2 linked regions of the Rattus norvegicus genome follow. The main gene of each other region encodes a partner of the protein of the gene in region 2 in a complex. Links are inferred from orthologs where the notes say so. Each region holds a gene or a part of one and is shown on either strand. Other genes may lie near its edges.

Region 1 (4,359 bases), on a different chromosome or scaffold from region 2:
AACTGAATTCTGTCAAAAGCCTAGGTCTTCCACTCCCCAGAAGGTAGCAGATAACAGCTAGAAATAGTTGCTATCTCTTTCAAATATGCATTTGGTTATATATATATATATATACATATATATACATATATATTTCTATAGTTTAAAATAGAACACAAAGATATTCTTATTATATGAGAATTAGAGGCAGCCCATACACTACTGTAAGAGGAAAAACATTGTTCTCTCTTACATTGTCTTTTATACTTTTGACTGAGTGGCCATAATTTTTGTACATTATTATCTGTCTGAAGCTGCTTCTTGTAGGCCAAGCTGTGGGGCAACATGCAAATATGATGAGTTAATTTTTTAAAATAAGCCAGGTGTGCTGTGTGTAGGAGCTCATAACCCGTGCTTTACCTCAATGCTAAATATTTGGATAAAATCACATCTACATATAATTTTATTTACATTCACATATAGATACGAATATAAATATCCACATAGATGAATATGTCTCCTGTACTGAAATAAGTACATGCTTCATCCTTTCGGCACACTGTTTCATGTTCTTGCCACAAAAACCAACCGTATATTGATTTTGTGCAAAGTACACTGATATTTAAGGTTCTTGTTGCCGCTCCCTGTCCCCGCCCTCGGTCAGTCTTCTCCTCAAACCTGGAAAGTGAAGTAGGCAGTGCAGCCTGAATTTGTTACCTTTGTTTTGAAAGGCTGTGTGCCTCATATGTCAGAGAGAGAGAGAGAGAGAGAGAGAGAGAGAGAGAGAGAGAGAGAGAGAGAGAGAGAGAGAGAGAATATTACCCACAGAATTTGCACAGGCCCTCTCTCCAACTGTATCGGTGCACTCTTTTCTTCTGTACTTCCGTGATGCTACCTTCCACCCCAGAGGGCTCGGCCAGTCAGTTCTTTTAGGCTGAAACCATGTCGAAGAAAGTCTTATTTTATTTTAAATGTTCTTTAGGTTAGGACACAACAAGGAAAGGTATTAGCAGAAGCCAAGGAGACAGCAGAACACACGCAGCAATAATAAGAATAGTAAGAGTAAGTAAAAAGCAGCCGTCCCCGGTGGAGAACTCAACACACAGAGTAAGGCCAGATAAACTTCCTTCCCCACCTTCCACAGCAGAGTCCTTCGGTCAAATTTATCGAATTGGCCTGAGTTCTTTGCAAAAACAAAATAGGTCTGGGGTTAGAAAACCAACCATAAATCTCTTCAGCGTAGAGTGAGTTAAGTTAGTTACGCTTGATATTTTCCCCTTTCTTTCTTTTTCATTTTTTTTTAAAGGTTCTCGGGGGTGGGGGTAGGAGTTAAAAGAATAATAAGGGGGAAGCTGCGGATCGCTGAGGCTTTTGCAGCCGGCTGCAGCTTTGCCCACCGTGCTCCGGGCAGGCGTTTGCCCTGCCTACCTGCAGGCTGCGGCTCGGGCGGCTCGCGTCGCCTCCCTCCTGATTGGGCAGCGGCCCCCCAATCAGAGGCGCTCCTGGGCCGGTGGGACTGCATATGTAAAGCCCTACTTCATATTAATAAGCTCCAATCGGGGCTTTAAGTCCTTGATTAGGAGAGAGTGTGCGAGCCTCGGTCCCAACTGGCCGTGCCTATGGGCTTGTCACCAGGAGAACGCGTGTGTTAATTGCACCGGGCTCTGTCAAGGAAACTTTGATTTATAGGTGGGGTACACAAATAATGGTTGCCGGGCGCACATGGATTCGGTAGAACTTTGCCTGCCTGAATCTTTTTCCCTGCACTACGAAGAAGAGTAGGTACCTTTTTTTTTCCTTTCCTTTGCAACTCGGCGTGGGGGTGCGTGTGTTCGGGAGAGTGGACCGGGCAGCGTGTGTGCACACGGATCAGCGTAGTGACCTGGGTGTTCGGTGCGTGTGGGTGCTTGATGGTGTCTGTCTGGTGCCTTTTGTGTGCAGGGTGATCTCCTAATTCAGTAAGTGGAGAATTGTTCTCCGACTCCAGTGTTACCTTTGAGGCAGCCCTGTGACTGTCACTAAAACAGCTGGGTGACAGTCACTTCTCTTTCAGGTGCTAAGAATAGGCGCTGGGCACCAATGCTCAGTGAACTGTTAAAATGCATCTTTTACCCAGATCCATTTTCCCTAGGAAAGATGTTTTAAAATACAATATTCAAAATGATTTATACTACTGAGTGCCTCTTATGTATTTGCAGTTTGACAGATATTTGAAACTCCCTGTCACCCTTTACCGTGCTGAGTTAGAGGCAAAATTGTACATTTATTAATTCTCCTTCAGAGAACAATTTAGCAACTAGCCCTGTGCTGCTCAGAGCCAGCGTAATGGTATTTGTGTGGTTAGCATTAACTCAGTACTTAACTGGCAAATCAGTCCATTAAGTAACATGAGATTTTCACACATTATAAATATTTAAAGGGGAGAAAACTGAAGACGAAACAGTAGAGACTTTAAAAAATAATCTTCCCTTAAATAGACAATGTGCAGGTCCTGAGTTTGGTTGATCATGTTCATATATATATATATATATATATATACATACATATATATGTATAATTAAACCCAGTTCGCTGATATTTATGGATGACTTCTTGGATATTCTACATATTTAGCTCATTAAAGGTCCAGAGCAGAACTAGGGAAAGCAAATTGGGCTTTTTTTGTGTAAATGAGGAGATCATAAACTTAACTTCAACCCACTGTTAAGATAAAATATCCATGGACCACGGAAGCTGTCACTGGTCTCTTTTGCTTTCCTGTTGAGTCAGTTAAATGGCTTTCACATTACAGTAATAGCAACTGCTATAATTTTTAAAAGAGCGCTCTTGGCAAACCCTTCTCCTGATAGACTGTGAAGAAAGCACAGAACTCTGAGCTGGGCCAGTGTGTTGGTGGTAAGAGTCCACTAGCTGTCCTCAGCAACTGCCCTTTGCATCGTAATCAAGGGAGGGACACGAGAAGCCGCTTGTAGTCTCCGGCTGCCTGTGTGTGTTTGAGTGTGCGTGTGAGTGAGTGTACGGTACGCACACGCTCTCACAGGAAGAGACTAAGATCGGAAACACTGAGAGGCTGTCTTTGCATCCGTTCGAAACACTTGAGGGAGAGCCAGCCTTAAAATGCTCAAGAAAAAAAATGAAACACAAACAAAGGTAAGACTGCCCAGTCGAGCACAGTGCACCTGGGATGGGAGAATTATAAATGTTCTCATGTCTATGAGAAAGCCTCAAGCTCACCCAGAGTCTGAACTTTGTCTCCCAAATAAACAAACAAAGCAAACTTTAAATATCCCTCCGAAGGCTTCATGGAAAAAGGAGTTTCCTTGAATTTAACTTCTTATACCTAATTTGAATAATTAGTTTAGATAAGCCTCTTAGAACAGATGTATTTAAATGAAACCAGGGCACATGCCCTTTGGCTTTGGCGCAAGATTCAAACTAGCTTTTCTCTTTCTTTCTTTCTTTCTTTCTTTCTTTCTTTCTTTCTTTCTTTCTTCCTTTTTGGCTCAATTAAAAGTCATCTTTTAAAAATCCAGATTTATTATGTGGGTGCAGTTGTGGTGGTTACGTGGTTCACTGGACAGACCGAAAGACCCAGGGCTGAGCAATGAATGCATCTGCCTCTCTGTCTCAATTAATAAACCGCAGAATTTATACATGCTATTAATATTCATAGTAATTGTGCCGGTTTCAACCCCATCACGTGTGTATACACAGAAATGAAACCTGAGTTATGCAATTTCCAAGGAAAATATTGGACCATCTCTGCTTAGGAGACTGTTAAAAAGATTCATGCAATTTATTGACCACCATTAAGAGAGCTTAAAATGTTAACCTCTAACTATGTAAGTACATACATTTTTTTTTAATTTTAGGAAAGGCGCCAGCACTTACAAGAGCACAATGCTGTAACGCTTGTTTCCCACTGAATAGCAGTAATAGCTGATAACATAAATAGACGGAAATAATGTATCTGCTGGTTTTGACACATGTGTCTGTGTAATCATTCTAAATGAGTGCGCTCCTCTCACGAATCCCTTTCAACCTCTGATTAAAATGTAACATTGACTACAGGATTATAGAGCGGACTTAATTTTACTGACTGTTTTAACAGTTGTCACAGCTGTTGGAAGAAGGCAATTGAAACACTCCAGAACGGGCAGGGAGAGGAGGTGGCAGTCTAGGAAATATCAGCTTTGATCACTGAAATCCAGACAGTGAACATTGAACAGTTTCTTGTTTGAAGGATCCCTGCACAGAGCTATGTGCATTTTATTGTGTATGCGTCCCTCTGTCTGTTTTAGGGTGTTGATTTTTATTTTCCTCTCTGATTCGTGCATTCTTAGGAAGAGCTAACCTGAATTGAGATAGACTTCTCCCAAA
Region 2 (4,484 bases):
TAACAGTAAAGAACACAGTGGGGTCCCTTGGATAATTTTTGGTTTCGGTGTACATCAATAACTGCTTCCGAAGGCTACCGAAATTCCTAAGAATATGAAAACGTGTGTATGAGAGTAGACAGCTTCATCCACAAAATTGTCTTAGTCAGTAAGTATTTTAACACAGGCATAGCACTTCAGAGTTTAGGGTGAACCAAAGATGTACTTTAGAGTGGTTTTTTTGTTTTTTTTGTTTTTGTTTTTGTTTTTTTTTATGTCAAGCGAAAACAACTTCTGCAAATGATTCTTTTCATGGCAAGATGCTAGAGTCAAAAACAAACGTGACATCTGGGGTAGGGGGAGCGTTAAAAGGAGGCTTCACAAGTAACATATGAAGGGAGTAGAGAGAATAGGATTTTAAAGCAGAAAACACAAGGAGAGGAAGAGATCACGGTTTCGTCTTTTTCTCTCCTCCCTCCACTTTCTAGCCTCACCAATCTGTTAGCCCCCCTCAAATTCAGAGGCGGGTTCAGCAAGACCAGGCTGCAGGAAACCCAGGTTTCGCTGCACTGCCACCCTGGCTCCGTGATGTAATTGTTATTTATTGAGACTCTGAACCCAGCAGAGCTGCTTAAAGAAGTGCCAGCCCATCTTCTAGTCCTGTTGGGTCAGATCCTTCCTGGGGGTGGTGCAGATTGGCGGGCAGACCCTACTGGAGACTTCGCAGTGACAAAGCAGCAGAAGATAAACCAGGTTCCTGGGTCCTGCGTCCGTCTAGGGAGCTGAGCTGTGCACTCCTCAGGTCTCCTTCCCAGTTTTCCGCTTGCAATCATGCCATATTTATTACTGGGTCCTACTAGGTGCTGAGGATGGGGTCAAAATGACCTAGAGTTATAGCGCCGTGGCTTCCGGAATTTAAGCGGGACACAGATTTCAAGGAGGTGGAAAATTGAGGGTGGGTAAAGGGCTCCAAGAGAACGCGTATTTGTGGGTTGAAACGGGAGAAAGGGAGACATTTAAGGTGCCAGCCCTTAGGTGGGGAACCTGGGGTAGGGTTAAGGCGCCCCGACTCCCCTTTGGTGCCCCCAGCGTTTGCCCCCGCAAGGGTGACATGGGCTATCGCCTGGCCCCTAGCGGGGAATCTGTCCAGGCGGCTGGCTGGACGCGGCTGGGAAGCCAGGGCGCCGGCTCGGGGAGCAAAGCACCCCCCTTCTCCGGTTCAACCGCGTCCTCCCTCTGCCTTCAAGGCCGCTCAGACCCGGACCCCCACCCGGAGCACCGGCGAGAAGGCCTGCAGACGCCGGGTGGGCTCCCGGGCTCCGGCAAGCCGCCGGGTGCGCGCTCCGCCCGGGTGACAATGGGAGGGAGGGGCAGAAAAGGGTTAAGAAACTTGGCTGAAGAGCTGAATGGCGTGGAGCAGCGAGGGGAGGGACCCGGCCGCCGCGAAGTCGGCGGCGGAGGGAGGAGCGCGGCTGCGGCGGGCGGGCGGCGAGCGAGGCGCTCAAAGTCAGCCTCGCAGACATTGCAGCAGAGCCCCGAACTCGGGAGGCGACGGCGACCGCGGCGCAGGCGGAGGACGAGCCGGCCCCAGCCCGCCGGTGCGCAGCGCCCGTGGCCTCGCGCGGCCGCAGGGCACGGCTAACCTGGGAAGGAGGGAGCGACGCGGATCGGCGGCCCGGAGCCGCGGCGGCCTCGGTGAGTGGCGATCGCGGCCCGGGCTCCGTGCGGAGCTCGCTGAGCGGACGCCGAGCCGCCCGGGCACGGCCTGGGTGCGCGGCCCGTGGAGGCGGCGGAGGCCGGGGGAGGCCCGCGGGGGGCTCCAGGGACACGGATCCCGGGGACAGCGCGCCGCCGCGCCCCTCTCCGGCTCTCCCCGGGAACTCGCGGGCCCGGCCGGCGCAGCCGCCAAGTTGTGGAGTTCCCAGCCGCGGGCTCGTCCGTGCCAGCCTTGGCGCGAGGGGCGCAGCCGCCCTGGGTGTAATGCGCCGGGACCCACGCGGGTGGCCGGATCGCGGGGCCCGGGTCGAGCTCGCCCGCCCGCCCGGCTGCCCCCGTTGGCCCCGAGCCCCGGGCGCTGGCTGCAGCCCCGCTCGGTCCTGCCGCCCAGCGGTGCTCGCGGTGGCGCCCGCGCAGCTCCCCGCCTATCGCCGGTTTCTCCCTTGCGCGGTGCTCGCCGATTCCCGGCCGGGAAAAGTGACTCGGAGAAGGGACAGCGCTGAGCCCCAGGCCCGGCCTGCTGGGCACGAGCTCCCCGCCTGCCGAGGAGGGCGAGGCCCCTTGCACCCGAGGCCTCAGCCCAGTTCCCCCAGCATCCGAGAGGGGTTCACTCGGGTGAGCCTGGTGAAGTCCTGAGAGACTGCTCTTCTCTCTGGTGCCACTGTCCTCCTTACTACTATTGTTGCTAGAAGAAACCCTCTTCCGCGGAAACATTCCCCTAGACCCTCCCATCCTTCCCAAAGTAGTTTCCAAATTTTAATCAGGAGTTGATATTCAGACGGAAGGAACAAAGGAATCCACTGTGTTTAAAAGGCGGACAGGCAGTGAGTCTGACACATGTTGATCTCTGAGGCATTCCACGAGTTTCTACCTTCCATCATGTCAGAAATTTAATTGGATTCTGGCGGTCGCAAACGAAGTATGAAACGTTAGGTAATTTTACGTTAAAATACTTTACTTTTTTAAATTAATGGATCATTTTAGTTAGAGGGAAGTCCGGACATTGTTAGGTGCAAGAACTTTTAACTCTTTTTTTTTTGATGGCACCAGGCTGGAGTTTGTCTGCTCTTGTAACTGATTGTGACACTGAGCGAAAACAGTGTTTTTAGAGAAAGAGAGACAGTCTAAAAGTAAAACAAGATTGGAGTGTCTGTGTGTCTGTCTGTCTGTGTGTATGCTTAAACGATGTGTAGTCTATCTCTTGGGTTTTGTAAAGCAGGGACTTCGGTAATTCATTCTTTAGAGTTATGAATTACATTGAACCCGCTTATTAGTGAATCATGGGTTTAGCAAGTGGGCGGCATCTTCCAGATGCAATTATCCAGTGTTTAATCATCAGGTTGCCACCTTTGTCTAAGAGACGGAGTCGACTTTTTAAGCAAACGGTGGGTGCTTCACATGCATGGCCCCTAAGAGTGGCTGCAGCCTGGGAAAATGTTGAAATCTTCCCCTTCCAAGTGAGTTGCCCTGGTTTGGCCCAGCAGTTTGTCCATAGGGTTTAATTGATCCAACAGGAACTTTCTGTGTAGGACTTAGTAGAGACAAAGGAGAGTCAGTCATGCCGCAGGCAATACCTGCAAACTGGAGCCTCACCCCAGCCTGTTCTATACTGTACTGGGAAGACTCCACACTTAAAGTACAAGGAGCGAGAAGAAAATATCCTTAAAAAGTATACTTCAAAACTCTAAGGAGGGCTTCGGTTGCTGCTTATATACAGGTAGTTGAAAACCAGCTTTCATGCCTACGAGAAGACTTAGAAATCTGAGTTTCCAAACTTTGCAGAACTTGGATTTTTGTAATTGAGATACCTGAAAATAATTGTGGGTTAGCAATGGAGAAATGTTTGTGGATGAGGCCAGGGCTCCTCTGACTCCTCCAGTTTTAAGAGCAAAACGTTGTGATTAAAAAAATAACCTATACCACCACCTAGAGTCTGTTTGTTAGTTTATTGCTCTTGGAGTTTGCTTACATTGACGTGTCCCTCGTGGTTACTGTATAGTCAAAACAAGATTAAGGAATTCAGGCTTTTCAGAGGCCATCCAGGAGAACACTTATTTAAGTAATGCATAGCAAGTGCCAATTTAAATTATCCACGACACTTTCAGAACCGAAAATTATGACATATCAACTCAAGTGGGCCAGTCTCCGAAAGATACTAATTCAAAAGAAAAAAAATTTAAAGACAGCTTCTTTTAGCTTGTGCTCCAAGGTGGCCCTGAGTGCAAAAAGATTTCCTGTGATACGAGAGATTCAAGAAATGTGACAAAATAAGTGTTCTCGGTGCCTTTTGAGGTTTTTTTTTGGGGGGGGGAGGGCGACAAAAGCGATGACAAAAGTATAGAGAGAGGGATGTTGCCATTACCAACATTTTAAACACTGAGAAGGTTAGAGAGACGGTAGACCGTCTTGGAAGCTGGGATAAGGTGTTTGGGAATACAGTCAGTGAAACAGTGATAACCTGTCCTACTGGAGGTTTGTGAGTGGCAAAGCAGTCTGTTAAACAGGAGGCCTGAGGGCGGCAGCCTCTACCCTTCTGCTTATCACATTGTCCGAGGAGGAAGTAACGCTCCTCCTCTAACCGTCTAGCCTGAAAGATGGCCTCCAAGATCTTTAATTAAATATCAGTCGAACAGAGAGAACTAGAGCACTGCCTTAATTCTGTCAGACATCACTATTTTAGAACATTGAGGACAACTAAAAATGAATTAACTCATATCTGAAAGCAGAGTTTTGAGGAAGGTGACAGATGAGGCAAAATATGTCAGTCAGTCTAATGGAACACATAGGGA

What was found.
Region 1: the proteins of Nrip1 (region 2) and Esrrg are in contact, whole or in part, in a crystal structure (PDB 2GPP), measured with the Homo sapiens proteins. The link is inferred for Rattus norvegicus from reciprocal best matches to the Homo sapiens genes NRIP1 and ESRRG. Residues at the interface, in NP_001426204.1 of Homo sapiens: Ser378, Leu379, Leu380, Leu381, Leu383, Leu384, Lys385, Ser386, Gln387; in NP_001429.2 of Homo sapiens: Val277, Ile280, Lys284, Phe289, Leu294, Gln297, Met298, Leu301, Gln302, Lys448, Leu449, Glu452, Met453.

Annotation. Positions count from the first base shown.
Region 1 is NC_086031.1:102,094,495-102,098,853, forward strand, and holds the start of Esrrg (estrogen-related receptor gamma), read left to right. Parts: upstream 1-1,530; 5' UTR 1,531-1,701; coding exon 1,702-1,757; intron 1,758-4,359. UniProt on the Homo sapiens protein: Orphan receptor that acts as a transcription activator in the absence of bound ligand. Binds specifically to an estrogen response element and activates reporter genes controlled by estrogen response elements.
Region 2 is NC_086029.1:28,463,425-28,467,908, reverse strand, and holds the start of Nrip1 (nuclear receptor-interacting protein 1), read left to right. Parts: upstream 1-1,496; 5' UTR 1,497-1,674; intron 1,675-4,484. UniProt on the Homo sapiens protein: Modulates transcriptional activation by steroid receptors such as NR3C1, NR3C2 and ESR1. Also modulates transcriptional repression by nuclear hormone receptors.